Mytilus edulis: one gene and its partners. The protein of the gene in region 1 purifies or fractionates together with the protein of each later gene. This does not show direct contact. Links are inferred from orthologs where the notes say so. Each region holds a gene or a part of one and is shown in the gene's direction. Other genes may lie near its edges. The genes, in order: methylosome subunit pICln-like, H/ACA ribonucleoprotein complex subunit 1-like and serine/threonine-protein kinase RIO1-like.

The links.
Region 2: the proteins of methylosome subunit pICln-like (region 1) and H/ACA ribonucleoprotein complex subunit 1-like purify together in Homo sapiens (affinity purification with mass spectrometry; 3 studies listed by BioGRID and IntAct, counting the BioPlex papers as one, with this or other methods). This does not show direct contact. The link is inferred for Mytilus edulis from reciprocal best matches to the Homo sapiens genes CLNS1A and GAR1.
Region 3: the proteins of methylosome subunit pICln-like (region 1) and serine/threonine-protein kinase RIO1-like purify together in Homo sapiens (affinity purification with mass spectrometry; 3 studies listed by BioGRID and IntAct, with this or other methods). This does not show direct contact. The link is inferred for Mytilus edulis from reciprocal best matches to the Homo sapiens genes CLNS1A and RIOK1.

What each region holds. Positions count from the first base shown.
Region 1 is NC_092346.1:104,452,433-104,463,488, reverse strand, and holds the start of methylosome subunit pICln-like, read left to right. Parts: upstream 1-6,510; 5' UTR 6,511-6,621; coding exon 6,622-6,758; intron 6,759-8,272; coding exon 8,273-8,415; intron 8,416-9,432; coding exon 9,433-9,522; intron 9,523-10,299; coding exon 10,300-10,371; intron 10,372-11,017; coding exon 11,018-11,056. UniProt on the Homo sapiens protein: Involved in both the assembly of spliceosomal snRNPs and the methylation of Sm proteins.
Region 2 is NC_092352.1:81,857,841-81,868,751, reverse strand, and holds the start of H/ACA ribonucleoprotein complex subunit 1-like, read left to right. Parts: upstream 1-6,306; 5' UTR 6,307-6,316; coding exon 6,317-6,404; intron 6,405-10,911. UniProt on the Homo sapiens protein: Required for ribosome biogenesis and telomere maintenance. Part of the H/ACA small nucleolar ribonucleoprotein (H/ACA snoRNP) complex, which catalyzes pseudouridylation of rRNA.
Region 3 is NC_092344.1:84,429,158-84,439,670, forward strand, and holds the start of serine/threonine-protein kinase RIO1-like, read left to right. Parts: upstream 1-5,775; 5' UTR 5,776-5,844; intron 5,845-8,943; 5' UTR 8,944-8,946; coding exon 8,947-9,002; intron 9,003-9,903; coding exon 9,904-9,941; intron 9,942-10,513. Other genes in the region: voltage-dependent calcium channel subunit alpha-2/delta-2-like, read right to left, coding at 1,116-1,274. UniProt on the Homo sapiens protein: Involved in the final steps of cytoplasmic maturation of the 40S ribosomal subunit. Involved in processing of 18S-E pre-rRNA to the mature 18S rRNA. Required for the recycling of NOB1 and PNO1 from the late 40S precursor.

The sequences.
Region 1 (11,056 bases):
TAGTAGTATAGTATACAGAAACTATTTGAACTGACAAGATTTTTGCTGGAAAATATTGTAGTATATGTATGAACTCTAATAGAAGTTTGACATTTTAAAAATTTGAGCCTACACGTTAATTCAAATGTCATTCACTTTTATGATTTCTATAAATATCTGTTTTTTTTCAAATAAGAGCGCATTTGTTTCTAACCTAAACGACGTAAACGATTACGCGCGTAGTCGTTTAATCCATTTGTTTCTTACAGTTTTTGGTCAACGTTTACATCGTTTACATAAACGATGTACGCGCAAAATAGTCGCGTAGTCGTTGATCGTTTATCGTTGAGACGTGTAAAGGATATATTTGTTTCTGCATCTGTCGTTTAAATAATTACGAGCACGTGTTGTTTTCATAAAGTCCTGGTTATTTATTTCCCGCACTTTTACCTGTTTGTTTACAGTGCGTGAGTGTAATCTATTTCTGTCTGACTACGCGGGGTCGATGAAGTTTATTAAATGATGTATTTGTTTCTAGCAGCTTAACGTTTACTAAACGATAGTCATCGATGACAAAATTTCGGGTTAAAATGCACTCTAAGTGTTGTTTTAAGATGAGTATAGAAACATGATATTAACACCTCTAGATCTTATTACAAACATAAAATTGAGAATGGAAATGGGGAATGTGTCAAAGAGACAACAACCCGACCAAATAAAAAACAACAGCAGAGGGTCACCAACAGGTCTTCAATGTAGCGAGAAATTCCTAGTTTGTATATATATTTCTGTACTAAAATTTATCACCAGAGTATCAAACAGCACATGGTGTACATAAATGACGTAAATCAATTTCTTGGTCACTACCAGTTCTAGTGGTTGGTGGAGTTCACATTTAAAGGTTAAATATATATATAATACTATTTGAATTATACCAGTTCAAGTGGTTGGTGGAGTTCACATGGCATTTAAAGGTTAAATATATATATAATACTATTTGATAAAGGTTAAATATATATATAATACCAGTTCTATTGGTTGGTGGAGTTCACATGGCATTTAAAGGTTAAATATATATATAATACTATTTGAATTATACTAGTATCAATATTCTAAGAGCATACATAAGAATATCATTCTTTATAGATTACAGGGTTTTCTCAACATATATATTGCAAAATATCAACTGCTGGCCAGCAAGTAAATCTGGTTAATAAGTAATCAAAATAGTTTAAAAGCTTCACATTGTGTCCAGGGTCTGATATTTGAAATAAACAAACCCAAGATATTATCTGTGTTGATTGTTTACAAAACAAGGTCAATTTTTGTATTTATCATTATCAATTGAGATTTAAATAAAGATCATTATATGTTCCTGTACAGTTTGAAGATAAAATATATACAATACAAAAATAAATATATAAATAACAAGATTATTATACTTAAATAAAGTATAGGTAAAAATTGTTGAATTAATGATGCTACACAACATATGCACAAATCCTTGTTCAAGTATTCATTTGATCGCATTTTCATTTACATAAAATCCCACATTAAATGTACATGTAGAATCAATTTAAATTAAATAATGCCAAAATGATTAAATCCATTAATTGTTATATCATTCAATATTCAATACAAATATATTTATTTTGTTTCAGTTTAATGTGTTATCCACTCAGTTATTGGGTTACATGTAAATCATTTTTTTTGTAAATAAAGTTTATTTATATTTGTATATACAAATGTATATATGCTTCAGGAATCTGATGTTCATGGTCAGTAGTAGTTGTTTGTTGATATGATTCATAAGTGTTTCTTGTTTTTTATATACAAATGTAGATTAGACCGCTGGTTTACATGTACACTAGTCATTTTTGGGGCCCTTTATAGCTAACTGTTCGATGTGAGCCAATACTCAGTATTGAAGTACTTTTACAAGTTGCGACTTGGATGGAAAGTTGTCTCATTGGATCTTCTTATATCTATTCAAACATTTCAGCTGATATATATCTTCTAATGTTAGGATAGTTTAGCTAGTTACATCTGACAAAATACCCTTTGAGATATATTTCTTCAATAGTACACACAAATTAGTGTATTTCTAAACAGTTAACAAATGTAAACTGACATTAAATCATTTACACAAATCAATAGTATGTCCTGTCTTGATTCTGATCATAATCTCCCCTAATGATAGAAATATTTTCATTTTTTACTAATGTCATCCATTGATAAGAAATATTTCCCATAAAATATGAGATTTGACAGGGACATCCTGTTTCTTTTTAACATGTAAGAGTACAAGTGAAACCAGGTACAGCTGGTCAATATGTTGAAATGTAATCTTACAAGAAATATTGTTCCATATTAGAGTGTTAGAGTAAATAGAAACAGTTGTGTTCCATTTATTGAAACTTATTTTTGGAAACATGCAGAAAGAGTCAAAATTAGAACTGTCTGTTATAAACAAGGACTTATATCCAGAAATGCTGTAGAAGACATCAGTGAGAATCCAAAGCTTAAGGTTTAGAAAGGGGTTTAATTACTAGAGGAAAGAATGGATGAATTTTGTGCATAATTTCAATACTTTTTTTAGTTTTTTCATTATAATATATGGTAATACAGTTCCGGCAATTTTAAGGAAGTGATCAATTTGTGTTTTTAAATAGATTAAAAAAAATAAGCATTACATGTGTCACTTTGTTACTGAATTTGCTTAACAAATATTTTTTGCAATTTTTTATTTTTATCAATTCATGTAACGTGATCACAATTAAAAGTTTCATTAGTTTAAACAGAAGAAAATACCAAATAAATGTTCCTTTAAAATTCTAATTAAAATCAACTTTACATTATAGTTTAAATATTCAGACATGTTAAATGACTTTAATATAATATCAATGGTAAGCTTACATGTGGAGTCTGTGATTAATCAACTGGTTCTACTGGTACCCTTATTGTAACTATCTATGTAATATCATTAATCAATATTTTCAATACTTCTGACATTTACACTGAACCATTTCAAAAACAAAATCAAATGCAAAAAAAAAGGTAGTATTACAATACTGGACTAGTTATATATATATTCTTTAACTAGATGTAACAGCTTCCAGTCCCGTTAGCATAATAGTCTCAGTAAAAAACTTCAACTCAGTTTTTGTAATTAAATTGATTTTATCATAATTTATGAAAATAAACTGTTATCACAGAGATATGTTCGCCTTTTTGTAATTTTGATTATGCAAATGTTGAAATCCAAATAGCAATACTCTAACATCTTACACAAGTTATGCAAATATTCAAAGTCAATGACCCATGACTGAGTTTAACTGGCTAAACAATCTCCATGGAAATGAAATGTGCCAATGCTAATACAACTGCATACCACATACCATTGACTTATTATAAGTCGTTCCCAAATCTAAATACAAACTATAACTTGTAAACTTTGAAAAAGTTTCGAAGTAAATGAACCATGAAGAGGGGGTGGGGCTATATAATCTCCATGGAAACAATACTTGCAAATGCCAATAAATTTGCATACCAAATATTATTGACTTAACATAAGCAGTTCATCTTAAACTGATCTAATCACAAACTAATAAATGTAAACCAAGATAAGTTTCAAAGTCATTAGACTGTGACTGAGGTGCAAGGCCAAATATACTCCATGGAAATGAGATGTGCCAATGCTTATACAACTGAATACCAAATAAAATTGGCCTACCACTAATGGTTCCCCTTGAACTGACCTAATCACAAACTAATACATGATTTAACTTAGAATAAATTTCAAACTCTATAGACCATGACTAAGGGGGCAGAGCCAAATTATCTCCATGGAAACGAGATATTCCAATGCTTATAAAACTGCATACCAAATATCATTGACCTACCACTTGTGGTTCCCCATAAACTGACCTAATCAGGCACTAATACATGTAAAATAAGCAAAAGTTTCGAAGTCAATAGATCTAGACCATGACTGAGGGGGCAGGGCCAAATAATCTCTATGGAAATGAGATTTGCCAATGCTTATAAAAAGGCATACCAAATATGATTGACCTACCACTTGTGGTTCACCATAAACTAGACCTAATTACAAACTAATACATTGTTGACGCCGAAAACAGCATACCTATGTCTCGCTTTTTGACTCCGTCAACGCAAGACAAAAAATGGATACACATGTAAAATTGCTCACATGCATTTCACATGTCAGAATCTCATGTGAAATCCATATGAAAAATATGTTGCAGGCTCGACAAAAATCAAAACTCTTAGCCACATGCACACCTTCAGTATATATACAAACAGATAGCAAAGTAGACTTCCTAGCATTCGAACTGTAGAAGGAGTTATGCGGAATAACGATATACCAATAATGGGACGTACGGAAGGACAAACGTACAGAGGGAAGGAAGGACAGAGGTAAAACAATATGCCCCCTAACCTTTCAGTTGCAAGGGCAGGCAATATAAGCATTGATGGTCGGAACTGTCACAAAGCTATGTGAAACCCAACAGATGAACAGAATCTACCTAAAATTCAGGCAAACATTAATGGAACTATCACAAAGATATGTGCAACCGAACAGAATCTACCCTGAAATTTAGGCAAACATTAATGGAACTATCACAAAGATATGTGCAACCTATCTCAACCACTTATATACTTTAAATTATAAATTCCTTGTAATGAGGTCAAGGTCAGATTACCCAAGCCAGTCAGACATGTACACCTAACAATCATTATTTTAGCTGAAAATTGATGTAAAGTATTCTTAGAGATGTCTAACAATTTATGTTTGTTTTGTTTGTATATTTTGGTGTAGACTGGTGAGATCGTTTAAAAGTTCTTTGGCATTTTTATGGCACAGTCATCATTTGAATTAGTCCAAATAATTGGGCCATTCCAGTTAATTTCTGACAGGTGGGGATGGATGGGGAGATTTTTGTTCATACCTATCAGAAAAAAACATCACGAAAAACTACCTATCAGATCTATATATTAAGACCTATCAGATGTAGAGTTTCTGTTCAGATTGGGTGGATGGGCTTTCATGGAAAAAATTGACCTATCAGAATTTTTTACTGCAAGGATTGTACCCATCAGAATTTTAAATATAATGCCAGATAGTGCATGATACGAAACTGTCTACATTCCAAAGCACCCCTAAGATCTGAAATAGGTATTTTTTGTAACCCCTAAGATGTAATTATTTTTAATTATTTACTGCTGCAAGACCCTCAGAAATTTTTGCGTATAAGTGTACGTGTCAGATGAAAAAACCCAAAATTTCACCCCTAAGATGTATAAATTTAACACCCCTCAGAAAGGACCATCCATCCCCCTTTAGCAGATATTAACTGGAATGGCCCATTATGATGTCTGGCCCAGGAAAAAAATCAAAATAGTCTTGCTGGACCTCATTATTATTTGGACTACATTTAAATAGTCAAATGATATATAAAAGTCCAATGAATGATATAAAATTTCAAATGAATTACATGTAGATGAACTAGCACAAACCCAAGAAAAAAGTGCATGTGCTTGCAGTTTGGATTTTCAAAAATTAAACAGTGCCAACCTATAATGCTATCATTCAGCATATCATATGAATTACTGGGTAAAATCTAACAATCAATATGATACCATTGATTGCAAGTTTCACCATGTACACTAACGACACCTTTGGGTTCCCAATACACAACAAAATTTAGCTTATCAGGGTTTAATAACAGAAAAGAAAAGTCACAGACAGGAAGTCATCTTCTTCGCTCAAATCTGAATCCCTGATCATTATGGGTTTTTTCAAGGATTTGTATAGTAAGTCACAAGTCCTTGTTTTTTTTTATGTACAAAATTGTATAAAATGCATAAAAGATTTATTTTAAAGTCTTGTATACATACAACAATACATAATAAGCTCTGTAGATTGTGTATTGACATAATGAGTTCTGTTAACAACTACCAACCTTGGGATGAACAATTAGATTGTATGATCTTATGTTGTATTATTTAAACAAAAATAATCAATCAATCAATCAATCAATACTGACAATAGTATTGACTTCAAAATTATTAAGCTGAATCAATCAATCAATCAATACTGACAATAGTATTGACTTCAAAATTATTAAGCTGATTCAAGTAAAAAGTATCAAAACTGTATAACAAATCACATTTATACGGAATTCGTCCTCTTTATATATTTAATAATATAAAAGGATACTGCCTCATAAAATGTATCTTCGTCCATAATTTTTCAGACTTTAGTTCCTAGCACATCCATCATATTTTATTAGCTAAAAGCTCTTACAAAAATAACTATGTAGCAAAAGTATGTTGAAAAAAAAACGGTTTATGTCTTTGATTTAATTGAGTGAAATTTACCTGTTTTATTTCACTGGCATTCTTCAATAACAAGTAGGATGTGTTTCAGTGATATATACTGACTTTGTAACCTGAAAGAAGGGACCATAAATAGTGCTTGAATATTTACATGCAAACTACCGCTTTCTCAAACGCAGAGATGATACACATATTGCGTGGATGTTCTTTGGACTTTTTTTATTTTACAGCGAAAAATCTAGAGAATAGTTTCACTTTAAATTTGCAACGCACGTTGGACGCATGGTTGTCAAAGAAGAAATGGTTCTCTTAAATTCATGTTCCCCTCCAGATGAGGGGATACGGAAAAAACAGGAAAATACGTCAGCATTTGTTGGCGAAAGAGCACTTGGAAAAGGCACGCTGTTTATTGCAGAAAGGTTGCTATCAAACTCAAACTTAGATGATAATTGATGATATGATATTGATTACTGTGTTTACACACTTGTATACTTCAATAATAATAATAATAATAATTCTTTATTTAAAGAGTGTTACACAGTATAACACAAATCTTCCCTGAAGCCAAATGCAATGAAATATAACAAACAATTTACAAAATAATCAAACAAATACACACATACAGGCATACAGGTGGGTCTCATTGGGGTCTAAGCGTGACGTGGGATTGCCAATTTTTTTGTACTCTTGACACATGAAAGTCAAATTTTTTCTGCCCTGAAAATGGGAAATGAGGTCTAGCGGAACACCGGAAATTACAAAAAAATGAGAATTGCTTAGCCCACATACATTAAGTGTAAGCGGGATATGGGAATCTAACAGTAAGCGGGAACCGGGATTAGAACCCCCAATGAGACCCCCATATAGTAATGTCCCCGCTGCTGGTGATATCGCTCATTACCTGTTTTGACATATAAGCAATGTAACACAAGTAGAATTGTTCTTGTAATTGTTTTAGTTTTCCAAAGGAACAGAAAAATATTAAAATTGATAATTTCAAGAGTATTGGCAGTACAGTGTATCTAGGCACCTAAGACTTATGACTTCACTTCATTCAATTGATAAAACCAATAGTTGGATAATATTGCATTAACACATTCATAACATACTTTTATTACTTAAATCTTCTGTTTGTATGATTTCACCCTGAAGATTTGATGTGTTCAAAATTATGGAAACCCCTGTTTTACCAGTCCGTCAAATGTCAGGTGATTTCGTTCATGCCTTCCAAAAATAGCTTATTTTGAATAAAGAAAAAGATTTAATACTACAAATTTGAACCAAACACACTGCCTTGCAATGAGGCAGAGCAAAATTTATTCCAATACTTATATTCCAAATATATATGCATATGCCTCTTAATTATTGTTGTTGTTACCAATTATGTAAATCAATTGTATCTGATTTTATGCCCTTTATGGGCCCTGTAATTTTGGAAATAAAAATATTCTATTCTATTCTATTCCATTCTCATATAAATGTGACTTGAATAAAACAAATTTTATCTGATTTTTAAATGGAAATTGGCTAGATATGGTAAATTATGGGATTGCAGTTATAAATTTACTCTCAACTATCAATTTTATTCTTTTCTATCCCTTCTGATAGCTAAAACAATTACAAGAACAGTTTTATTTGTGCTATTGTGCAGATATGACGAAATCAGCTAATGAGCGATATCAACAGCCATGTGGACACCAGGGACTCCACTGTAATCTTATAACTGCATTCCACAGCTAATGAGCGATATCAACAGCCATGTGGACACCAGGGACTCCACTGTAATCTTATAACTGCATTCCAATCATTAACCATAGTTAGCCAATTTCCATTCAAAATATTACATCATCATGATCTGATAAATTTGCTTTATTTAAGTCAAATTATTACCGTATCTCATATCCCATTAAAGTCCCTCATGATTTAATTTCAGTTGTGTGTCATGGCAGAGCTCAGAACATGAAGGACAAGGGTTTTCCTTACAGTACCCTGGTATAAGTATACATGCTGTATCCAGAGATTTAACAGCCTTTCCACATGAATGTTTATACTTGATGGTGGAAGGAGATTTAACTGGTAAACAATAAATCAATATTAATATTGGTCGAATTGTTATAAAAATAAAAATTTGAAGCGTTTATGATTACAATTGTCATGCATGTATTCTATTTCTGAAGGCTAACGATTTGCCATATATATTTCAACAACCAAAAACGAACTTTTGTAGTTTGCTTTTTTAACATCAGTATATCAGTATGATAAGTCTTTACAAAAATAATATATGAATATTACAGAGAAATCCTACAATTATATATATATTATACATGTACATGTTATAGTTACTGAATAGTTAGAGAGCCGTAGTGTAGTGGTTAGTGCATCGGACTACTAACACAAAGGTTCCTGGTTCAATTCCCGTTTGGGATGAAAGTTTCAGGAACTCAATTTTCAGCTCTCCCTTGACACCATCTGCTAGTATGGTCTTGAGGAAACGATGATAGTCTGTCGGAAGGGGACGATAAATGGCTGACCCGTGTTAAGAGAGAGCCATATCTCTTGCACGTTAAAGACACCCTTGTAGATTTCGAAAAAGAGTAGGCTAATGCCGCTACAAGGCTGCACTCGCACCCGCAAAGTGGAAAGGGATTAATATAAGTTGCAAAAATTGTTTCCCAATCCACTATAAATAAATATGTTTAAACTAAACTAAGTTACTGAATTATTTGAGCGTGTATCAGTTTTTGAAATAAACTGATACAGTACATGTTAACAGTTATACATACACATGACATAATTATAATACTGGCATACATCTAACAAATTTAAAAAAACACTTAATGCTTATTAGGACATTAAAACTTTTCATCCTTTTTGGTGTATAAACATGATAAAAAAAGATGAATATTGTATGGACAAAATACCCAGTGAACCTCAAATCTACCGATGTTTTTTGTGGCAGTAGTGTTTGACTGTAAAATTGAGAATGATATCTTTTCTCCAAATTGTCGTATAATATATTGAAAAAATTTGCTAACATTGTATTGACAGAATAGCCGGTAAACTATATTGTGCTAAACTACATGTGTGTTGTAGATGATGCGAACAGAGAGGAGGAAGAATCAGATGATGAAGACCTTGACCCATCAACAGAGATGAGATTTGTACCAGACGATAAAACTGTGTGTATGTACTCTCTCAGGGATAACAGTTGTACTGGAAATTTTATATAAATCTTGTTTTCAAAACATGCATATGATTTATTTAACTTTAAATGTCCGTAATATTTGACATCTATAAATTTATTATTATTAGTCCCCTACCAACCAAGTCCAAGGCGGCTTTAGGTTTGACTCCTTTAGTCTGGCAAATCAGTTTTCCACACTTTTTTCTTCATGCTTGCAGATACTGATTTGATATTTGCTATATTGTTTTAATATCATGACAGGTTACAGATCAAGGTAAATTTTGTTCTGGCTGGTGATTTTGTGCAGAGTTATGATCCTTGGACTTGAAAAATTCACTCAAATAATCAGTGTTCCACAATTTTTTTCTTTGTGTTTGCAGCTATTGATTTGACATTTGCTGTTTTGACTATTGTTTTATCATGAAAAGTTACAGATCAAGTTCAAATTTTGTTCTGGTCTGATGATAGCTATTGTCCTTGGACGACTCAATTAAATAATCAGTTTTCCACCCTTTTTTTCGTCATGCTAGAAGACATTGACTTGATGTTTGTTATAAATTTACACCATGACAAGTAATAGATCAAGTAAGCATTTTGTTCAAGTACAATGCATGCTAACCAGTAGAGGACTATGTACAAATGATTCTCAGAATGCTTGTTATTATTGTCTTACAACTTACATTAAGTTTAATACCTTTTGCCCTAATTATTTTTTTCAGTAGATCAGTGATATTAAGCCATATCAAATTTTATTTCAATATACCTCTCTTTTTCAGTGGATCAGTTATATAAAGCCATGTCAGACTGTCAGATATTGCATCCTGATGAAAATGATTCAGATTTTGATGGTAAATGTTATAGACAATATTTGTGTTTAAATTGTGTAGTAACTTATCAATTGGCTTAATCCCAGTCTGTGTTTCTGTTTAAAAGGACAAAAACCTGCTGGCCAATTGTTTAGCTGACCTCGTAAGGGCTGTATAGCCAGTCAAGGTCGTTAAAAACTTCCATCATCAACCAATTGTTAAAATCTTTAAGAAAGTGTATGATTTATAAAGATATGTAACGATTTCATTCGCAAGTAGTGTAAATAAAAGGAGATATTCATCCATGAGATAGTAATTCATAGCCACTAATAAGTAAATTAATATTGAGAAATATCTTTTTAAACTTTCATAATTAAGACATATTGATTATTAAATGTTTTTTTATTTTTTATGCATTGCCATAGCTGAGGGGGCATTAAGTTTTACCCTTGTTCGTCTGTACATCCAAAAATTGATTTCCATTCTCTAACTTTATTTTGGCTCAACCAAATGTTATGAACTTATACCCAAAACTTATTACCACAAAGCACAGATCAAGATTGAATTTTGGTGGCACCACCTTTACTGTTCTAGAATTATGCCCCTTCACAAATGGAAAAATTTCAAGTTTTAGTGAAAATGTTAGTTTTGAATGGTGCTACTAAATTTACAACGTATGTATTTATAGAAGGAGGATTTTATGAAGGAGAAGATGGATTAGACCATT
Region 2 (10,911 bases), on another chromosome or scaffold:
ATTTTGCATCACTTAGCCCCTCGACTATTGACAAAAAGGATATTTCCTACTATGGGTGTTAAAAAATCTGGAGGCAACACTGAGATCATGATATCCCTTATTCTACAATATTTACAGTTTGTTTTTATAGCTTTTCAATCTCTTGGTTGATGTTCCTGATCCTAAGGTCAATAATATTACTTTCGAGTTCATCCCTCACCGGAAAAAACTTGTCAATTATACACACCTTTATGACGTCATTTACCAGATAGAGGGTATGACCTGTATTCAATTCAATTCAAAATATTTTATTGTTCAAATATCAAATGTACATTTAAACAAAGGGATTGGACAAAAGGCAGTGCCTATACAAATCCTTTCCCATACAAGATGGATTGAAAAACATGCATGATAGTATATAATTTTCTGATAAGTTAATAGATAATGGTTGTTTTGAGGTATTAAAATGAAAATTCCCTAATGACAGCAGTGCTGATTGTCAATTTTGAGAATTCAATTTTCCGAATAATTTGTACAATATGAGAATTATAGTTTTCCAACCACTCGCTCAACATTGGAATGGAAGTGATGACGCCCCTAAACACTCAAATGACTTATTAAAACCGGACTTTTTGTCGAAAATGCATCGAACTCGAAAGTTGTCTATTAACAGTCAGGGGACTTACTTAAATGAGGGATTTTCTAAATCACTGATTCAAGTAACATTCTTTCCATAAAGGTTGAAAGTAAGAGTTGTCTTTCTTTAATAATCACCTATTTAAGTAGTACAAAATAAACACTAGAAGAAGTGATTTAATTTTACTGTAGCTTTAGATATAGAATACTAATGATCCAGGGACTAATTATGTTTCTTAACTTATCAGAACCAACATCTGTGTTGTCTAGGATCAGGGGCGGATGCAGGAATTTTCAAAAGGGGGGGTGCTAACCCAGGGCAAAGGGGGGGGTGCAGGGGGGGTGCAAAACATATGTCCCGATACAAATGCATTGATTGGCAAAAATAAAGGGGGGGTGCGCACCCCCGGAACCCCCCCCCCCCCCCTGGATCCGCCACGGAGGATGACCAGGTCATTTCAGGTGATGACCTTGTACTGAATCTAGGATAATGACATAAAAATCACTTGTTTAAGTATCATACCTCAATTTCCTTCCCAAAAATCACTTCTTTAAGTAGCATTATTTTAATAAAGGATTAACACCTACTAATTTCAACACCCCCGAACAGTGAAATTTTTATCGTGAACAGTAGAATTTTATTACATAATCTGAAAGATGAAACCTTGAACTTTACAGGAAAAATACTCCCACTGCTGGGGAAAATCTGTTAAGAAAGTATCAGTTCATTAGGCCAAAATAAAAAGATTGTATGTTTGCCCAAACGCGACCAACCCAAAATAAACCCGCCGACTCAAAATTTTTTTTGGACGTTTTTTTGAAGAATTTTTTTTTGAAGAATTTTTTTTGGGTCCGCTCCGTCATCGTACAAAACTTAATGTTAGTCGTCTTTGCGTTTGAAAGTAACTGAATAAGATTAAAAGAAAGCGTATAAAAGACGCAGTTAATCGATATTCGATGTTCTCTGTTTTTATCTTCTGATTTAACGAACGTAAAGAAGTAAAACATGTGAAGTGGCAGTTTTTTTTACGCTGTAGTTGTCTGTACTACCAAACCCTTACCTATATGCTCAATGTTAATTTCATCGTGTTATCGAATATCTGATAAGAATATTCAGGTAGATTTGTTCAAAACCATGTGCAATCGAATATTTTCAATGTTATTCTGACAGGAAATGGATCCGGAAAAGTTGCGAATTTACAATCTTGCAAGAAGATTTTGTTTTTACTGAATAAAAAAGAATTATTTCTTGATAAATTGTTGTCTTTAATTATAATCTTTCTTTATCATGTAAATTAGATGCCCTTTTATTCAAATAGTTCAAATTTACAAGTCTCATTAGACAAGATCAGTACGTTGCTGTTTGGGAGAATTTGATAAAACTATAATTGTTCACAGAATCAGAAATATAATCTTAACTGAATGTAACTCCCTCTGAATAATTTATTGCAATATAAATCCCTTTTGACAAGAGAAATCTGACTTTTGACAGAAATATTTTTTTCACATGTGCAAAAGTAAAAACATGTTATGGACGCCATATTGGATTTTTCTACAAATTTGTGAGGAAGCCTCTAGAACCATGACCTAAAAATAAATAGTCTTCAGAAAACGTTAACTTTATGCAATTATATTTTATCAATAATGATTATTTTCAAAAATTTAAACTTGATTATTTAAAGAAATAAAATTATAACAAATACGTTTTTAGTTTGGAGATTCTACAGAACATGCTTTGATCTATTTACCGGTATAGCCAAATTAGTTTACCTGTGTGATAATGTAAATACAAATTTGTTTTCAAAACATAAACAAGACACAAACTAAGGATGGTAGATAATAATTCATATAAATATTTTAATAGAAATAGGATTTAAAAACTGCAAACAAATTTAATCATTACATAATCAGCTGATATTTTTTTTACAAAAACATCGTGTTGATGGAACTGTTGAAAATCACTTCATAAATCCACCAGCCCTTTCACACAGCTAGCAATTGTCAGTGTTATAAACATCTCAGGATACAAATCATATAGTAGACTAATTTATTTATAGAGGTTTTAAATTCATGGCTTTTGGTTTTCTCTACAAAGGTTTGACGAAAAAAAAAAGATATACTGTTTTAAGATCTTTTAATATTTTCATGCAAATTCTGATAAAAAAAAAAAAAAAAAAAGAATTTGCCTACCTACCTACCCACACCCAGTCATCATGGGTCGGGTTTGGGCAAACTGAAATATTTTTAATTGTGGCCTTATGTAAAGCCATTATTATAGCATTTTTTTCAACTGAAATAGAATTGCAGCTAAATGATAGCATCAAAGGCATAAACCTTGATACTTAAAACAAGCAAAAAATTCATTTTTTTCAATTTTACTAATAAAAAGATATTATTTAAACCTATGTGTTTAAAATTTTGGTAAAACTACAAAATCACAATTTGTGACAAAACTTCGAATTTGCTACACAAAGTGATTTAAAAATCACCAAAGTGATTTAAAAATCACTTATTTCAGTTAGTCCCCTGACTGATTAACATGACCATGATGACATGTCTCTCTTGTACTGAATATTCCTCATATGGTGCACTATTTCTCATAAGTACGATGTTGATGTCCCACCATATTTCAGTGTGTTCATGGTGTTTGTCAGTCTTTAAGATTTTTTTTAGCAACAAATGTATTTTGACCTTTTGAGTGTGAAATAAGTCAAGATTATATTATGTTATAATTTGTTTTTGAATCTTTGATATTAACCATTTGTTAACCATGCTGTAAACTGAAGGTATACATGGTACCCATCAAAACAACATTTGATAGAAAAATTTAACAATACTTTTAGATATTTGGATGATATATTGGCTCTAAATAATGACGACTTCAGTATGTATACTAAAGAAATTTATCCTGTAGAACTTACTTTAAACAAAGCTAATGCTAACAATGACCACTGCCCTTTCCTCGATCTTGATATCTATATCATAAACGGGAAGCTTAATACAAAAGTTTATGATAAAAGAGATGATTTTTCATTTCCTATTGTTAATTATCCATTTTTAGATGGTGACGTTCCCTTGTCACCATCTTATGGTGTTTATATATCTCAACTTGTACGATTCGCTCGTGTATGTAACAATGTATTAGATTTTAGCGAGAGAAATTTATGTATTACTGAAAAATTATTACACCAGGGTTTTCGATATCACAAACTGGTCAAAACATTTACTAAATTTTATCACCGGTATAAGGAAATAATTCGTAAATATAACTCAACATGCAGACATCTTATACGTTCAGGTATTTCACATCCAAAATTTTATGGAAATATTCTTTATAAAGCACAAAAATGTCAGTATTCTCCTCAGAAACTAACAAAACCTTTAAATAGACTTATTAAAAGGGGATATAGTTACGATACTGTTGTCAGGTCATTAAAGATTGCATATTTTGGCTTTAACATTGATTCACTGATAGGGTCTTTGCATCGGAACTAAACACATTTATTTCTAAAAAAACAGTTGTTGGCATGACACGGGTTATGTTCTTCTCATATATTTTATGATAGTATGATACTAAACCCCTAACGGGAGGGATTGTACCTGATATTCATATGATGAAGACATAATCTTTCAATCAGTTTAATTGAGGTCTGGAGCTGGCATGTCAGTTAACTGCTAGTAGTCTGTTGTTATTTATGTATTATTGTCATTTTATTTATTTTCTTTTGTTACATCTTTTGACATCAGACTCGGACTTCTCTTGAACTGAATTTTAATGTGCGTATTGTTATTCTTTTACTTTTCTACATTGGCTAGAGGTATAGGGGGAGGGTTGAGATCTCATAAACATGTTTAACCCCGCCGCAATTTTGCGCCTGTCCCAAGTCAGGAGCCTCTGGCCTTTGTTAGTCTTGTATGATTTTAATTTTTAGTTTCTTGTGTATAATTCGGAGTTTAGTATGACGTCCATTATCACTGTACTATTATGCATATTTTAGGGGCCAGCTGAAGGACACCTACGGGTGCGGGAATTCTCGCTACATTGAAGACCCATTGGTTGCCTTCGGCTGTTGTTTGCTCTATGGTCGGGTGGTTGTCGCTTTGACATATTCACCATTTCCTTTCTCAATTTTATTATGGTACATGTATATTATCTTAAATTATATATCCTTGATAATATAAAAAAAAATGTTTTTTTCACTTGTTTCTGGTATATAACTATATTTAAAAAGACAATTTAATGTATGTTTCAATATTTATTAACCATGTTGATTTAAACAGGCGTTTAGTTAAGAAAGACAACTCTACCTTCCAATCTTTTTGGACATAATGCAGTGTTCTCCCCAGAAATTTTGGATAGCATCACATTTGGCGTAAAAAAAAATGTATTTTTTTCAATGTAATTTGTCGCATCGTGGCAATGCTCTATTTCCATTATGATATATATGCTTTATTGTTTATTACAAAATGTATTATATTGTTTGTATGCTATAGGTCCTTATTTGGTGAATAAAATATTCTATTCAACCCTATTCTTTGTGTCAATATTGTTGAATTCATGACTGAGAATACAATTAAAGTATAACCATGATAACAGTATTTTCAGTTTATGTTTTCTATATATTCATTTATAGTTCCAGAATTATTTTTCCTCTTGGGCCAAATGAAAAAAATATGTGTGGTTCTAGTTACCCTACCTACATGAACTACCCAGTTAAAAAAAAATCTTTATCATGTCTATGAAATATATTGGCTCATGGTATTCAATGAATCAGTCCCAGTTGTTTCTTTTTATCAAAATGATATATATTCTTAACAAAGTTATCTGACAAATAGTCTGTTTGTGCTTAGTTTTCTCTTTAGGTATCATTGTTTTCTGTTTACCATGTTTACTGTGCCATTTGTGCAAATGTAGTTATTATTGTAAAATACGGATTTTTGTCATATCTGGTCTGGTTCACATCATTAGTTTACACTAAAATATTAAATGGCCGTTGAAAGCAATGAAAAATACAAAAATAAACAATGTTTGACAAGAGATTTGGAATGAATATGGCGTTTTTAATGCATTAAATGGATGAAGCATAAACTAAAGCCAATATTGATCACTTTCTAAAGAAAGACCAAAACTTATTTAGCTCATAATCAAAATTTTCACTCTCGATTTACAAAAAGTGATAGGAAGAGGAAGAAAGTATATACTACTGTAATATTTTGCAGACCACGTGGTATTAATCATGTCACAAGTGACAGCTTAGGGTATTCCAATCCAAACAGTTATCCCCCAAAGGCAATTAACTCCTATTTATTCACTCTTATTTGTCTATTGTCCGACATGAAGGGATTAAAGGTGATATATTTTTTATGATCATAAGCGGTAATTAGATGAAAGTTCAAAATTTAGGACATGGCTTTGCCATATAGAAACGAGAAAAATAACATCCTAAAAATAATTATAGCGTCACGGAAATTATTATAGCGTCACGGGAAGAAAATATAGCGTCACGGTACCGCGATGCTAAAACGTCCTGGGGAGAACACTGAAATGTTTTTTGAATCGGTGATTTAGAAAATCATTCATTTAAGTATAAAGTCCCCTGACTGTTGATTATTATACTACTTAGAAAACAAACTGAATAAACAACCTCATGGAACATTGGTGATAATTTTTATATATTTGCTGTTTCAAGGTTTTAGCATTATGGGATTTGAAAGAGGTGGTGGTAGGGGTGGAGGCCGAGGAGGAGGAAGAGGATTTGGCGGTGGTCGTGGAGGTGGATTTAGAGGAGGTGAGTTTGATGGGGCTGATCACAAGATCTTGACTTATTTGGATATAATTTGTTCAAGATGATCCATATATAAGTTTTATACCATGAAAATTATACATGTACATGTACATGATGTAGCAGTCAACCCTCATTCTTCATCAAGCTAAAGATAACCATCCAATACTTTTTTCTTCATTGTTCTTCAGAATTTGGAAATTTTCTGATAGTTCCTTATTATTGGTAGCAGAAGAGTTCAAATCTCCCACTTCAAAGAAATGTCATGTTTTCTCCTTCTTCACAATTATTAGCCAATAAATACTTTAAGTCATGTCAAATTGTTTAAACATTTATCATAACATTATAAGCTTGCAAAGTACAACGTTACAAAGTATTCCTTATATGATGTTACAATGTAGCACAGTTATATCAATGTGTACATACATATTTAGCTACATATACCTGCAATTGTCAGAATGATTAAATGCTGTTAAATCTTGGTTGGTATATGGGCAGGAATTTGCTAGTGAAATTTTAGGGTCAATAGTGTTTATCCAATTAAAAAATAAAGAAATCATGCAAATATGGAGAATAAACATTGTTTAAATATCAAAGTGGGTTAGTCTTTATTGCCACATGCAAAAAAAATGGTTCCAATTAAAAAAATCAACAAAAAATCAGCACTTGTTATGTGCTGGCAGTTGAAAACTGTAGACAAAAAGTGTGACATTTCTGCAGTGGCAAAACCCCTAGTCATATTTAGAATATGCCTGAAGAATTGTTCTACTATAATAGTTGAAAATCAACTGCAAAATGATCGGTCTATCATTTAGAAACCCCATTTTGTACAGAATCCGATTATTGCTGCAAATAAAATACGTTTGAAAATGGACAAGTGCATGTAACTTTTCCCGTCAACAAATGTTACATGCACCTTTTCATTAGCTGATTAGCTTTGGAAACAAGTTATTGGTCCAGCATGGCAAATTTTGAAAGGTGTCAACAATGGTTACAATTTGGATTTCATGATTTTTATCAATCAACTGAAGTTTGAAAAATATAGAAGGTACGAAAATTTATTTCATTTTCGTGTCAATACTGCCCAATAATACTTATCTTTTTATAACAGTTGTATACTTTTTATAGTAAGCATTAACATAATTATTTTTTTCACATTTCAACCCACTGACAATTACATTAAAATGTGGCTTTGTCATCTTTCACACTTGGCATCTACCAGTGATCAAGCAGATGATAAGAGAGTGGGACCAGGTTAATTTGACCTCACAATGAAGTGTTACATGCACTTTTTGTGTAAATTAGGTTCTTTGATAATAATGTGTGACTTGCTTTGCAATTTTGTCAAAAAATATAAGTTTATCTTGTATTTTAACAGGTTTGACCCTTACGATATTCATTTTATTGCTGGAGAGATTTCTGTACATAACATTGACACGAAAATATTTACCAAGGAAAGGTGTCTATGATACATGCAAAAGCTTTTTTTTGTACGGTTTGCCTTATCAATCTAATTTTTTACATGTAATACCACAGATTAATTGCCAATTTGATTAACTAGTACTTGTATTCATTCTCAGCATTATAAAGATAACTGGCCACTTAATTTGAAAACATAAAATGTAACATTGACACCAGAATAAAAACAATATTACTTTATTACACTTAAAGCATAATTGGCCAGTGCATAATATTAAATCAAATGTAAATTTAAGCTGAATTCTTAACAGAGAAGTTGTTGATCTTTCTTGATTTCTAGACTTTACAATATTTACTTGTAATTCTTATCGTTTAAAGGCATGTAACATTGACACATCTTCTGTGTCCAGGTTACATGCTACAACCTAATAAATGTGCATACAATTATTCAATCAATAAAATCTTGTTGAAATTTAAATTTGCTTCATTAAAATGATATTAAAGAAATAAATGAGTTTCAATTATTTGTGTTTATTTTTTTCCTGATTGACTAGCATTTTTTCCTCATCATTTGTTGGTGTTCCTGTCAATGTTACATACATAACCCAGAATTATAATGTTTTAAACGCATTGATTTCCAAACCTCTGTTATGAGCTTTAAAATGAGTTTATCTGAGTTTATAAATGACTAACATCTGAAATATTGTCATCACACAATTTCTTTGATGCTCCTATGATAACTTTATGAGTAACATGGACTACGATTTTTGTATCAGGTCTTTTTTGTGTTACATGAGAAGATTTTACTGTGTTGAAATCAACAGTTAATCTAATTTTTTATATTCAAAGTTATTATTATGATACTTATTTTAAAAAATAATGTATAAAGTAAACCCAAATTAAACTTTTTTTTCATTAAGAAATTGCATGTGTATGTAACATTGACAGAGTCTATTATTTAGACTTTTACATGTTCAGGCCATTGTTACATGCGTACACACAACTTACTGCCATATGGAGCTATTATCTTATTTTTATTTTACAAAATTAAAGCGTTTTCATGTTTTCCTGTTTAATTTGTCTTTTAACACTAGCTAGTAACATTGACAACAATATTTTGTGTCAAGATTTTTTTATGTTACATGCAAAGGTATTACTTCCTTAAAGTCAGAAATTTATATAACATTTTATAACCTAAATGATTAATTAGATATTACTGGGCAGCAATTATATTATTTTTCCAAAGTTGACTATTAAGCACACCACTTTCATCTTCTGGTCTTCATGTATGTAACATTGACATACAACCTTTTACTTTCTGTCAATGTTACACGCATGAACAGAACTGATAACATTTACTAACTCCTTTGCTCTATAAAGAGATTATTGATAATTTAACTTGTTTTACCACCATCAAACTTCATCTTTATTTCTAAATATAGATATTCTTTTTAGAAGTGTATTTTCTTCATTGACAACAAAATTGGTGTCGGTCATGAAAATTTACATGCAATTTTTAATAAAAAAAATCTACAGGCAATATAAACCTAAGAAAGAAAAAGATGATCAGCAATAAATGTGATGAAGAAAACTCTCAGGAAGATGCTGCAAAAAGATACTGTCCCTGTCAACCAGTCAGATGGTGATGTCCCTGGCAGCCAGACAGATGGTGATGTCCCTGTCAGCCTTGAAGATGGTGATGTACATATCAGTCAATCAGTTAGTTGGTGATGTTCCTGTCAGTCAGTCAGTCTGTGATGTTCTTGTAAGCCAGTCAGAGGGTAATGTCCCTGTCAGCCAACAGATAGTGATGTCCTAGTCAGCCTGGCAGATGGTGATGTTCATATTAGTCAGTCAGTTGGTGATGTTCCTGTCAGTCAGTCATATGGTGATGTTCCTGTCAGCCAGTCAGATGGTGATGTCCCTGTCAGCCAGTCAGATGGTGATGTCCCTGTCAGCCAGTCAGATGGTGATATCCCTTTCAGCCTGTCAGATGGTGATAACCCTATCAGCTTGGCAGATTATGATGTCTGTGTTAGCCAGTCTGATAAGGTCCCTATTAGTGAGTCAGGTGATGACGGTCCTTTCAGCCAGTCAGATAGTAGTGTTTGTCTGTGTCAGAAAACCAGATGATGGTGACTGTGTATGCAGACATAATAGTGATCTCCAATTTGACCATTCTACAGCAGTGTAGAAGATTGTTATTTCAAAATCTTGTTTATTTATCCCTTTTCAATCACCAGTCAACACATGTATCATGTGTATTTACTGATGCTCATTATAGAAATCATGAGGAATTCAATTTGTAACATTTTTTTTTAATTGTTATGCCAATAATTGACATTCCAGAATATCTTTTGCATTATAAGAGGTTCAGGCTCCTTCTGATTTCAAAATAATAATAATAAACTCATCATGGATACCAGAATTGAAATTTTGTAGCCCAGAAACGCTTTTCGTTTACAAAAGACTCTTCAGTGACGCTAATTATGAAACAAAAAAGTAAAAGAAGGCCAAATAAAGTTGAAAACAGGACTATGGTCTGTTGTTTTTCTCTTCTGAATTGTTTTACACTGGTCATTATGGGGCCCTTTAAATTGTGGCTTCCTGTAGTTTAGGTAACAAGTTTTCAAGATGAAATGGCATTGAAAAATCGAAACAAGATATTTGAGAGTTTCTATATTATTGTAAATTTTATATTCTATGCATGGATTTTGGTTCTGATTAAGGGTAGATTAATTGTTGTTTTGGTTATTTCTTTTTTCAGATAGATAGTTGAAGATGTTGGAGACAGAAAACAAGAAACAAGAAACTTGTTTTGAATGTTTGAAATAAAATTTATTGTTTAAACCTTAAAAAGTTATCATAAATGTAAGATTAACCAGCAGAAATAAAACGAGATATGGGGTAATATGTCTATCAGACAACAACCTCAAAGATGAAACCCAAATTGTTCTTTATAGAAGTTATGTAAACGATTGAAAATAAGATTCTCAATAAATGCAGCTGTATCAACCTCTCGTAGATTTGTCCATATTTTGTCTTGGTTTTTCATACTATTAGTTTTAAGTGTAACTGTGTCACATGAATGAGG
Region 3 (10,513 bases), on another chromosome or scaffold:
CCTTTGACCTAGGAAGTTGTACATAAATTATGACATACCCTTTGGTGTTGGTTTATAAACATGTCAAGTATAAACTTTGAAATGACAACGGTTCTCAAGATATAGAGCGGACACGATCTTTACCATAGGACATGGGGTTGTCAACTGAAACCAAAGTTTTTGACCTTGACCTTTGACCTAGGAAGTTGCACATAAATTATGACATACCCTCTGATATTGGTTGATATACATTTCAGGTATAAACTTAAAAATGATAACGGTTCTCAAGATATAGAGCGGACACAATCTTTACCATAGGACATGGGGTTGTCAACTGAAACCAAATTTTGACCTTGAACTTTGCCCTAGGCAGTCGTTCATAAATTATGACACACCCTCTGGTGTTGGTTCATATACATGTCAAGTATAAACTTTGAAATCATAACGGTTCTCAAGATTTAGAACGGACATGATCTTCACCACAGGACACAGGGTTGTCAACTGAAACCAAAGTTTTTTTACCTTGACCTTTGACCTAGGAAGTTGTACATACATCATGACACGCCCTCTGGTGGTGGTTAATAAACATGTAAAGTATAAAGTATGAAATCATAATGGTTCTCTAGATATGGAGCGGACACAAAGTTAAAGTGTTACGGACGGACGGACGGATGGACAGACTGATCACTATAGGGCCCTAATTATAAGGTTAGTTTTTTCTAAGAATAAATGTATATAACGTTTATTTATAATCTAGTATATTCATCTTCTTTAAAAGTAATACCTGACAGTAAACAGAAAGACAAGCAATCATCCTTTCGTGTCCAGTTAAAACTTTGCAAAGCATCAAGTTACATTGTGAAACAAATAAGCTGATTATGTATAAATCACTGTCATAATATACAAATATTAACCTGTTCTTAAACAAAATTGCTGAGATGCCATGTACTTAGCTATGTATGTCAATTTTTATTCTAGTAATGCTTCTAATTTGATCATCATCATTCACTTATTTTACATGTACATGTACATATACATTAACATGTGTATGTGTTGTACAGATAATGATTAGATGTTAATTTAATGTATAATTTCATATGAATCAGTATACATACATGTATGGTATACAATTTTACCTGCAGTATGTAGTTTTCTATCAGCTGAGCCCAGTTTTGTACATCTCCTTCTAATCTACCCATATCATATCTTTCTTCCCCTGGATAACATGTGATATCCTTTGGTAATATAATCATAAGTATGGTAACTACCGAGGAGAAATGTAAATAATACATCATCAGTCAACATGGAAACACCGCTTATTAGGTTTTAAAGATGTCTCATCTGAAAAAAAACAAAATATGACATAACAAGAATGTGTCCTCAGTACACGAATGCCCCACTCGCACTATCATTTTCCATGTTCAGTGGACCGTGAAATTGGGGTAAAAACTCTAATTTGGCATTAAAATTAGAAAGATCATATCATAGGGAACATGTGTACTAAGTTTGAAGTTGATTGGACTTCAACTTCATCAAAAACTACCTTGACCAAAAACTTTAACCTGGAGCGGGACAGACGGACGAACGGACAGATGGACGGACGGACGGACGAACGGACGCACAGACCAGAAAACATAATGCCCCTCTACTATCGTAGGTGGGGCATAAAAATGGACAAATTCACAGTTCCATTCAATCATGAGAATCAACCTGAAAGGAAAAGACATATTACATTGATTGATTAGTACTGTAACCAGGCTATTCATAAATGGTGGTCTAACTTGCTGGTTGACTTATACTTGGGGTGTTGAACAGAAGAATAATTTCAGGAGTTGAAAATAGCACTTGCTTGTCTCCCATGGCTTTTGTTTCTAACTACTTGTTATGCGAAAAAGCCTGGTGGGTTTCCATTGTTGCACAAAAACAGTATGTGAAATCCTTGAATTGCTCTTGATCTGATATGCACACAATTCAAGGATTTAATTTAAATTAGACGACCTGAGAATCTTCCACAGATGCATTTTTTTGATGGGTCAGATATTTTCTATTGTGAGGTCAAAACTTAATGGGAATCTTTGCAATATCCAGTAATGGAGAACAAATACCGATAAGTTGTATTATAAAACTGGTTGCTGGTACAAATGCCTATTTAGATACTCGTCCCAACCAGGGACTTTCTATACACACTGCTAACTAACAGACTATATAAGTTTACAACATAAGAGGTCCACAGATACTGCCTGGCTTATAATTATCTTTGAAATTAATCATTGTTAATGTGTGAAAATGTAATACTAATTGTAAGCTGTGCTGGTTTGCTGATTTTTTTTTGTAATTAAGGTCATCTGATACAGTTAAATCTTGGCGTGAGGTTAAGCGTTTAAATTCCGGAAAAACATCACTTTTTTTTCGGGACGTAATGCGTGTAATTTTCCGTAATTAGAAACGTAATGTGGATTTTTCGATGCTCCAATTTTTGTTTCTCCCACATCTAACTTCTACACCATTAATATTAGTGGATTTGATTCTGACAGGATAACAGTCTAATAAAACCATAAGAAATAAAACACATTTCTGTTTCTGTGAGATCTTCAACAAAATATCGTATAGTTACAATGTAGCAATCTCTAGATGACTGACCCTTTTGGTGTTCCTAATATAATGCATGTGAATTATCATTTTTGATATGAGGAAGTCGCTACCTAAAATGTCAGCTTAATACCAAGACTAAGTCCTATAAATTAATTAATTGTTGGTTGATTAACGTCCAGTGGCAAATATTTCATGCAAAAATTTTGACGGGATGTATTATGGTATACAAATGTCAGGCTTCCGTCTGTCCGTCGTAAATATGATACAGCATATTATCCTAATGTCATGGTTGTATTTTTTATGATGGTCAATCGATCTGTATTCTTTTTGGTGAACTTTTTAAGTAACCAAACCAGGGTTGTTTTTTTCAAAGTCTGCACTGTATCTTTTAAAGGATAGTTGATATGCACTCATTTTGGAACGTGTCCATACGATATCAGTTTAGTAGAAATTTGACAAGAATTGTACACTTGAAAAATCTAATTAACCATAAGGACCGACAGAGGAATGAAAGTGTGATATTTTATGTACCCTGCAATGCAGCTCGCTGTGGTGAAAAAAATATATAGTTATAATTTCCAATGAAATTGCGCATAGGTAATATGTCCAGTCCTCTCGCTATTAATTCAACCGTGTTTGCCAAATCAAAAATTGAAATAATTATGGTATAGTTGCTCTGTCTGGACAAAAGCATCCTTTAGCATATTGAAGATTCTCCTTTATAAGATTTTGTTTTGTTTTCTCACACACAGGTTCCTGGTTCGATTCCAGTTTGGGTTGAGGAAAGTTGATAGTCCGTCGGAAGGGGACGCTAAATGGTTGATCCGTGTTAAGAGAGAGCCATATCTCTTGCATGTTAAAGACACCCTTGTAGATTTCAAAAAAAAGTAGGCTAATGCCGCTACAAGGCAGCACTCGCACCCGCAAAGTGGAAAGGGATTAATATAAGTTGCAAAACTTGTTTCCCAATCCACTATAAATAAATATGTTTAAACTAAACAAGAAAGAAGATGTGGTATAATCGCCAATGAGATGTAACTCTCCACAAGAGACAAACATGACACAAAAATTAACAACTATAGGTCACCATACAGTCTTTAACAATGAGAAAAACCAATACTGCATAGTCAGCTATAAAAACTGTGAATTCTAAAACTGTTTAGGAGCCTCTCAATTTTATTCAATTGTAACATTGACCCGAATAAAAGTTTAATTCTATGAATTAATGTAAAATTCTTAAAAGTGATTAAAACGTGAATAGAGGAATTTAAAGGAGTATTGTAATGAAACAGCAGCCCACCAAACAAAATGAATAAAAAAAAAAACAACATCTAGAGGTCAACATATGGTATAAATTAATACATACTAGTATGTAAATACACGAGTGTGTACAGTACATGTACCTGAATGTCAAGTTCTAAATTGCCAAGTCTTTAGTTTTAAAAGCCGAAAAATTATCAACAGTCCGTAAGCACTTTTCTTGAGATATTTCTCTCTTAGACCACAAACAAAGAGATGTATTTATGATGTACATGATTTTTATTTCCGAAAACAATATTCGTTCATTATCACTGGACTAGTATATATTTGTTTAGGGGCCAGCTGAAGGACGCCTCCGGGTGCGGGAATTTCTCGCTACATTGAAGACCTGTTGGTGACCCTCTGCTGTTGTGTTTTGTTTTTTATTTGGTCGGGTTGTTGTCTCTTTGACACATTCCCCATTTCCATTCTAAATTTTACCTATTTATAGGCAGCTCTTTACAAGCAATATTTATACATCTAAAAAATGTCGCCAGTTTGCAGCGATAACATCGAAAAAGTCTGCCAGCCATGTCATGCACTTAAGCGCTAACGTTGAGGTTACAAAGGGGGGACGCAATTTTTAGGATAAATCGTGTTTATCATAGAATCCAGCACGGTGACATATATTTTTTATTTGAGATTTGGAGAAAGCATGACAAAATGCACTTTATGCAGAAAAATGATAAAAATGACATTTTCAGAAACACTTTATTTTCATATTTTTGGGATTAAAAAATACCACTTTGAGGATCTGGTTCGCAAGGTCAAGCAAGGCTTGAATAATTGTATAGTCATTCGTGTAGCGATTATTTTTTTTATTTATTGTCACTTATCACAGCTTCAAATTGAACCCGATCTTAATAATTTACAACGAAGAATATATGCTCCAAAAATTTTATAACATTGCCTACATGTACCTCTTTTACAAAATTGCACAAATCCCCAATTTTCAGCCTCAATTTTCTTGAAAACGAGCACGGTGACCTATATTTTATTTCGTGTTTTATTTTATAACTCGCCAAGGCCAACAACATATTTCAAAACTATAAAAATGACATATCGAAAAACTGTATCGGATGCCCTTAATACAAGAAAAATAAAACTTATGATCATTTTTTGTGTGTTTGTAAAAGAACACCTGTGAATAGCCTAGATGTAGTCCAAATAATTATGACGTCTGGAAGGCTATCTTAAATTTTTGCTTTGACTCCTTCTGTCGATGTAAGGCGTCAAAGAAAAAAAAATATAATAGCCTTTCAAAATGTCATAATTATTTGGACTAGGACTAGCCTAGATGATTTAGAAATTAGAGTAGAGTACTACTACTAGACTTTATAGAATAAAAACCGAGTTTGATAATAAAATTCTATTATATTTTTATAATTATTGTATTAAATAATATTATACTTCTGCTTCTGCCAGATAATGGTCAGAATCAATGAACTGATTATACTGCCATGGTTTGGTTTGCATATTTGACCACCCCCCTCCCCAAAATTTGGAAATTTAATTCAGCTTTGTCATCGAGGTTTTAAAGGCCTCGACTGACGGAACTGTCAGATATATATTTGCTTTTGCCAAAGGTTGTCTCTCGCTCTGTCGATTGTTTACAATCACAGTTGAGAAAATTGATTTTTGCCTTGAACAGTTCAAGACCACAATAAATTGCTATTGCAACGATTTTTTAATGAAAATTGAAAGGAAATTTATTTACAGTTGAGTACCATATGTATCTTATTTACCTGGTTATCAAATAAATTTTCAAACTGCGGTAGAAGAAGTGAAATTGGCAACATCCTTTGCTGCTGCAGCTGTGTTTTCACAGCAACATATTTATGCAGACGAATTTTAATAAAAACATAGCGATTGGTAGAATTTAGATGAAAGAATAAAACAAACGACCTGATTGGTTAACATCGTCTACCGGATGTTACACAATGTTGTCGTTCTGAACAAGCACATGTCGTCGTAGTAAGTCTTGTCATTTTAAGGTTTCTTAAGAAACAGACAACTTTATCATGTTTAAAGATGTTTGTGCTGTATTTATATCTTACCACGGACTTTCCTTGTATCCTACTCACTATATGGAAAAAATAGAAGTCTCATCTTTCTACATAAATATTTAAGATAGAAAATTAATCAGTTAATAGGTACGGAAAGTGATTTTTTTTAAATCAACTGATCTAAGAAAACTTAATCTCATTTTAAAGGCATTGTGAAGACATTTTCAAAACAGTTTCACTTTTATCAATACACATAATAACAACGAAGTAATAGCAAATTTTCAAAATGGAAATTTTTTACTATTCTGGAAAAACTGTTTCCTCTCTTTAAAAAATAATAAAATATATTTTTTTAATCATTTGGGTTATAGTTTTGTTAATATTGCTTCTTTTACATCTTGTAAGTCAATTTCAATCCTCCATGTTAAGTTTTTTGTTTAAATTCGAAGCATAAAGCATGAAAATGTCAACCACTCTCATGAAATTCTATCGTCCAAAGTCACATAACATGACGATAACTTTATATATTCCTTTTTTCAGAGCATCAGTTGGTATATTGAAAATGTAAAGTAAAACTTATAAACATTTGAATGTAAAGAAACAAAATATTAATATGAATATTACTCTTTATATACAAATGTATATATGTTTAATTGTGTGTGTGTATAAAAAAGAAGATGTGGTATGATTGCCAATGAGACAACTCTCCACAAGAGACCAAATGACACAGAAATTAATAACTATAGGTCACTGTATGGCCTTCAACAATGAGCAAAACCCATACCGCAAAGTCAGCTATAAAAGGCCCACGAAATGACAAATGTAAAACAATTCAAACAAGAAAACTAACAGCTTAATTTATGTACAAAAAATTAACGAAAAACAAATATTTAACACATCAACAAACGACAACCACTGAATTACAGGGTCCTGACATTGGACAGGCACATACATACAGAATATGGTGGGGTTAAACATGTTAGCGGGTGCCCAATTCTTCCCCTGACCTGTCACAGTACAACATAAGAACGAACTATAAAAATCAGATGTACCATGAGAGACAAGAATTGTTTTGAAACATGTCATCTGTCTTTGTATAGTCATGATAGTTTTAGAATGTTCCCTTTTCATTAACATTCTATTTAATGAAATATTCTTATTCTTATATAGCATGTACATAGTAAATGCTTATGAATAAAAATAAACAACAAGCTTTTAACAATTATTCTACAGGACTAAAATACCTGTTGCACTGAAAAACAATGAAAATAATATAACTATTTTTTATTCAAGAAATTTCAAACAAAATAATTATGTCAGATCACTGTAAATACTTTTACATGTATGTATAAAAGTAAAGTAAATTCATATCTGTATATCAGTTACAATATTTATACAGTGAAATCTGTAAACCAATCTCGTTCAGGACTGAAGTTCAAAATGCATTGAATGTGAATAGCATTCAAAGTGAACTGCCACTACTGCATGGATTCCTATGTATGTCTTTTTAGTTGAACATGTTGAAAATACATATGTTTTAAACCACATTATTCAGTATCCTTACTATCTCGTGTGCAATGGCAAGTGGTTGAACTATCTTTAAATCGCAATAAACTGGCTGTATAATGCAAAAAAAAACTATCGCCGCTGATTTCCAATCAAAACTAAACCAAAAATTGTCCATGCAAGGGAAATAACTCTGTATACACAAAAAGGAGGGTTATTTATAAAAATTAATTTTGATATGAACACAGCTATCTAGATTTATTTATTGGACCTAATTATTTAATTAATATATTAAACTTGATAAAAAAAATACATTTTATGGCTGTATAAAGTTCCCTTGTATTTTTTTGAAACGAATGTAACTTTCAAACCCTTGTTTGTACCTCAAATATTTCATCGTATTCCCGAAAATTATAATATACAAAATCATGTATATTCATATAATATCTATCAAAAGCAATCAGAACCTTCTGAGACTTAACAAGTTAATAGAAGGCCGTAATCGGAGGTCACCCAAAGATTTTATTTTTACACACATCTGGGAACAATTATTTAGGGTAATTTGGAGTTATCTCCCATTGGTTTGCCATACCTACAGTTAATAGCCTAGACAGCCAGTGTTTGTTTTAGCATCATAGACTGGAATTTTAAATCATTTTGTATATAAATTATAATATGGTATAGTGAAAAATTCACGGTCATGGCAAATATTATTGATTAACTCTCAATTTCATTTTATGAATGAATGCAGGATGGGTCTGAATACACCTTATCGTTGATCCCCTGATCCCGGCTGACCTGTTCGCTTGAACTTTTGACACATACAACAATCACTTTTTCATTGTGGCATCAGATATTTTGTTTTATGATGTCAAAATTTTACGGAAACCTGTGTAATATGAAGCATGTCAAGTTATGGTGGACAAATAGTCATAAGGTGTATGCTTATTGTTGAACGCCATCAATGACCCAAAGTTGGTTGAGAGTTGTCTCATTGGCAATTCATACTACTACTAGGCAATTTTTTACAACCTTGACTACCCACGAGGGTCTGGCACAATTGGTTTTTGCAAATCATACAACATCTTATATTTTTTTATTCCCTGGATGACCTGACATACATGTATGTCTTGTGACATAATGACCTAATTTTTCCTTGATATCTAAATTCTCTTATTGGAATATCAAGTATTACAATGTATATCTTTCTTCTATTCAAACAGATTAGGAGTGGTAAACCAGGGTTATGCTAATGTTAAATGGGAAATAAAAATGCTAGTGCAGCAATGGTCAATTTTCCTGTGTCCTGCTCTATACAGTGTTTGGATGAATACATCCTCTTCATGAAAACAAATACGAAAGTTTTATTTTGATTCAGTTCATATGTAACAATAAAAGCATAAGCTCTTGAGAACATCAATTTATGGTTGGTGTCACCTTACTATAGGCTGAGGTGTCCAAAAGGAATTTATTTGAATCATTCCATTTCTTTATTATTTTTTGTGATATTAAAAGATATATTGCATGCTTCATTCAGGTATTTTATGGGGTTTTTTTCCAGAATATGTCAACAGATACATGTATAGTAGAAGGGCAGTTTGATGATGCTGACGCTGAAAGGTAGGATTTGTCTCAAAATAAAGATATACTAAAAAAAAAAAATTGTGACTAATTCAATAGCAAATTATATTTAATTGTTTTAAGGTGGTACCTAACACTACAGGGAGATAACTCTGTAAAATCACCTAAACGTTTTAATGACGTTGTGTTTTTAAGGGAATATTAAGCTTCTCAATGATCAAAATTAGTGTTTGTCAAACTGCTATATAACCAGTGTAATTTTTCTGATAAAATGCTTGGTTCAAATTTTTTGAAACTTTTATATTTTTGTCAAAGGGTCAAAGTCAATACTTTGTCAAAATTTTATGAAAATTAAACGAGCCAAATTAATTTTAGTGAAAGTGTTGGGTACCACCTTAAAAGACCAAATTTTGACTTCATTTGTCTTTTCAGTCAGTTTATTTCATAGCAAAAAATTTGCACATCTCAAGATCAATGATAACTTAATTGAAAACTATTTTGAGTTAAGTTGCAGTCTCATTGACATAATTGATATCTACATTGAACCCCACATCTGTTTAAAAGTTCTAGGCTACTTTTTTTTTTGTATCTTGTGTGATAAATTGGAAACAAGGTTCATGATTTCTTGTGTATTTTCCTGGAAAGATTTTGGAAGAAGAAGCTTGTTGTAACATTCAGATTCATTGTTTTGTGTTTGTAAGCTGTAGTTGAAAATTTCTTCTCTTTATTGTTGTTGTGGCCTTGATTAAATAAGATCTATATGGAGGAAGATGTGGGGTATACATCTATATGGGTAAAAACCAACAATATGAAGAAGAAAAAAAACACCAGAAAAAATATTTGAATATTCTTTCTATAAAACAATGTAAAAAATAAGAACATATTTATTTTGTATAAAATTTAATATTGATCGGTTAATTTTTATTTTTTTATTTTTCAGCAACACAAGGTCATCTCTTACCAAATTAACAGAAACAGGTACAAACAATATGTCTGTAGAAAGAGATTTATATTTCAGAAAGTTGTTTGCTGGAACTAAATGGTTTCATGAGATACTTAAACTAATAAGATTTGAATTAAAAGTTACATAACCAACAGTGTCCAGGAATCCTGCAATGGTATTAAATTCTGACAAAGTTTCATGATAATATTGAGCCAGAGATTATAACACCATAACATTTTCACACATGGAACAGGTGGATATATAATATCAGTTTTTATAGCTCAAAGTTTTTACTTGTGAGACATTCATTTATGATACAATACAGTAAATTTTTAAGAAAAAATGTATTTTATGAACACAATTGTTTGCAATTTCTACTGAAATATTTTGATAGTGTGAATTTTTGTGAAATTAGTCACAACAACTAAAACCTAAGCATAATATATAAGTTAATATTTGGCTGTAAAATTATTTATGTTATAAATATCAAATGGGTTTATTCCATGTAAATGTATACATATTTATTCCCTTACAGCTTTTACATTAATGCTAGCAAGACAAATCTTTGTTTGGCTTGCTTGCTTTGCTTGTATCAATGTTTGCTCAA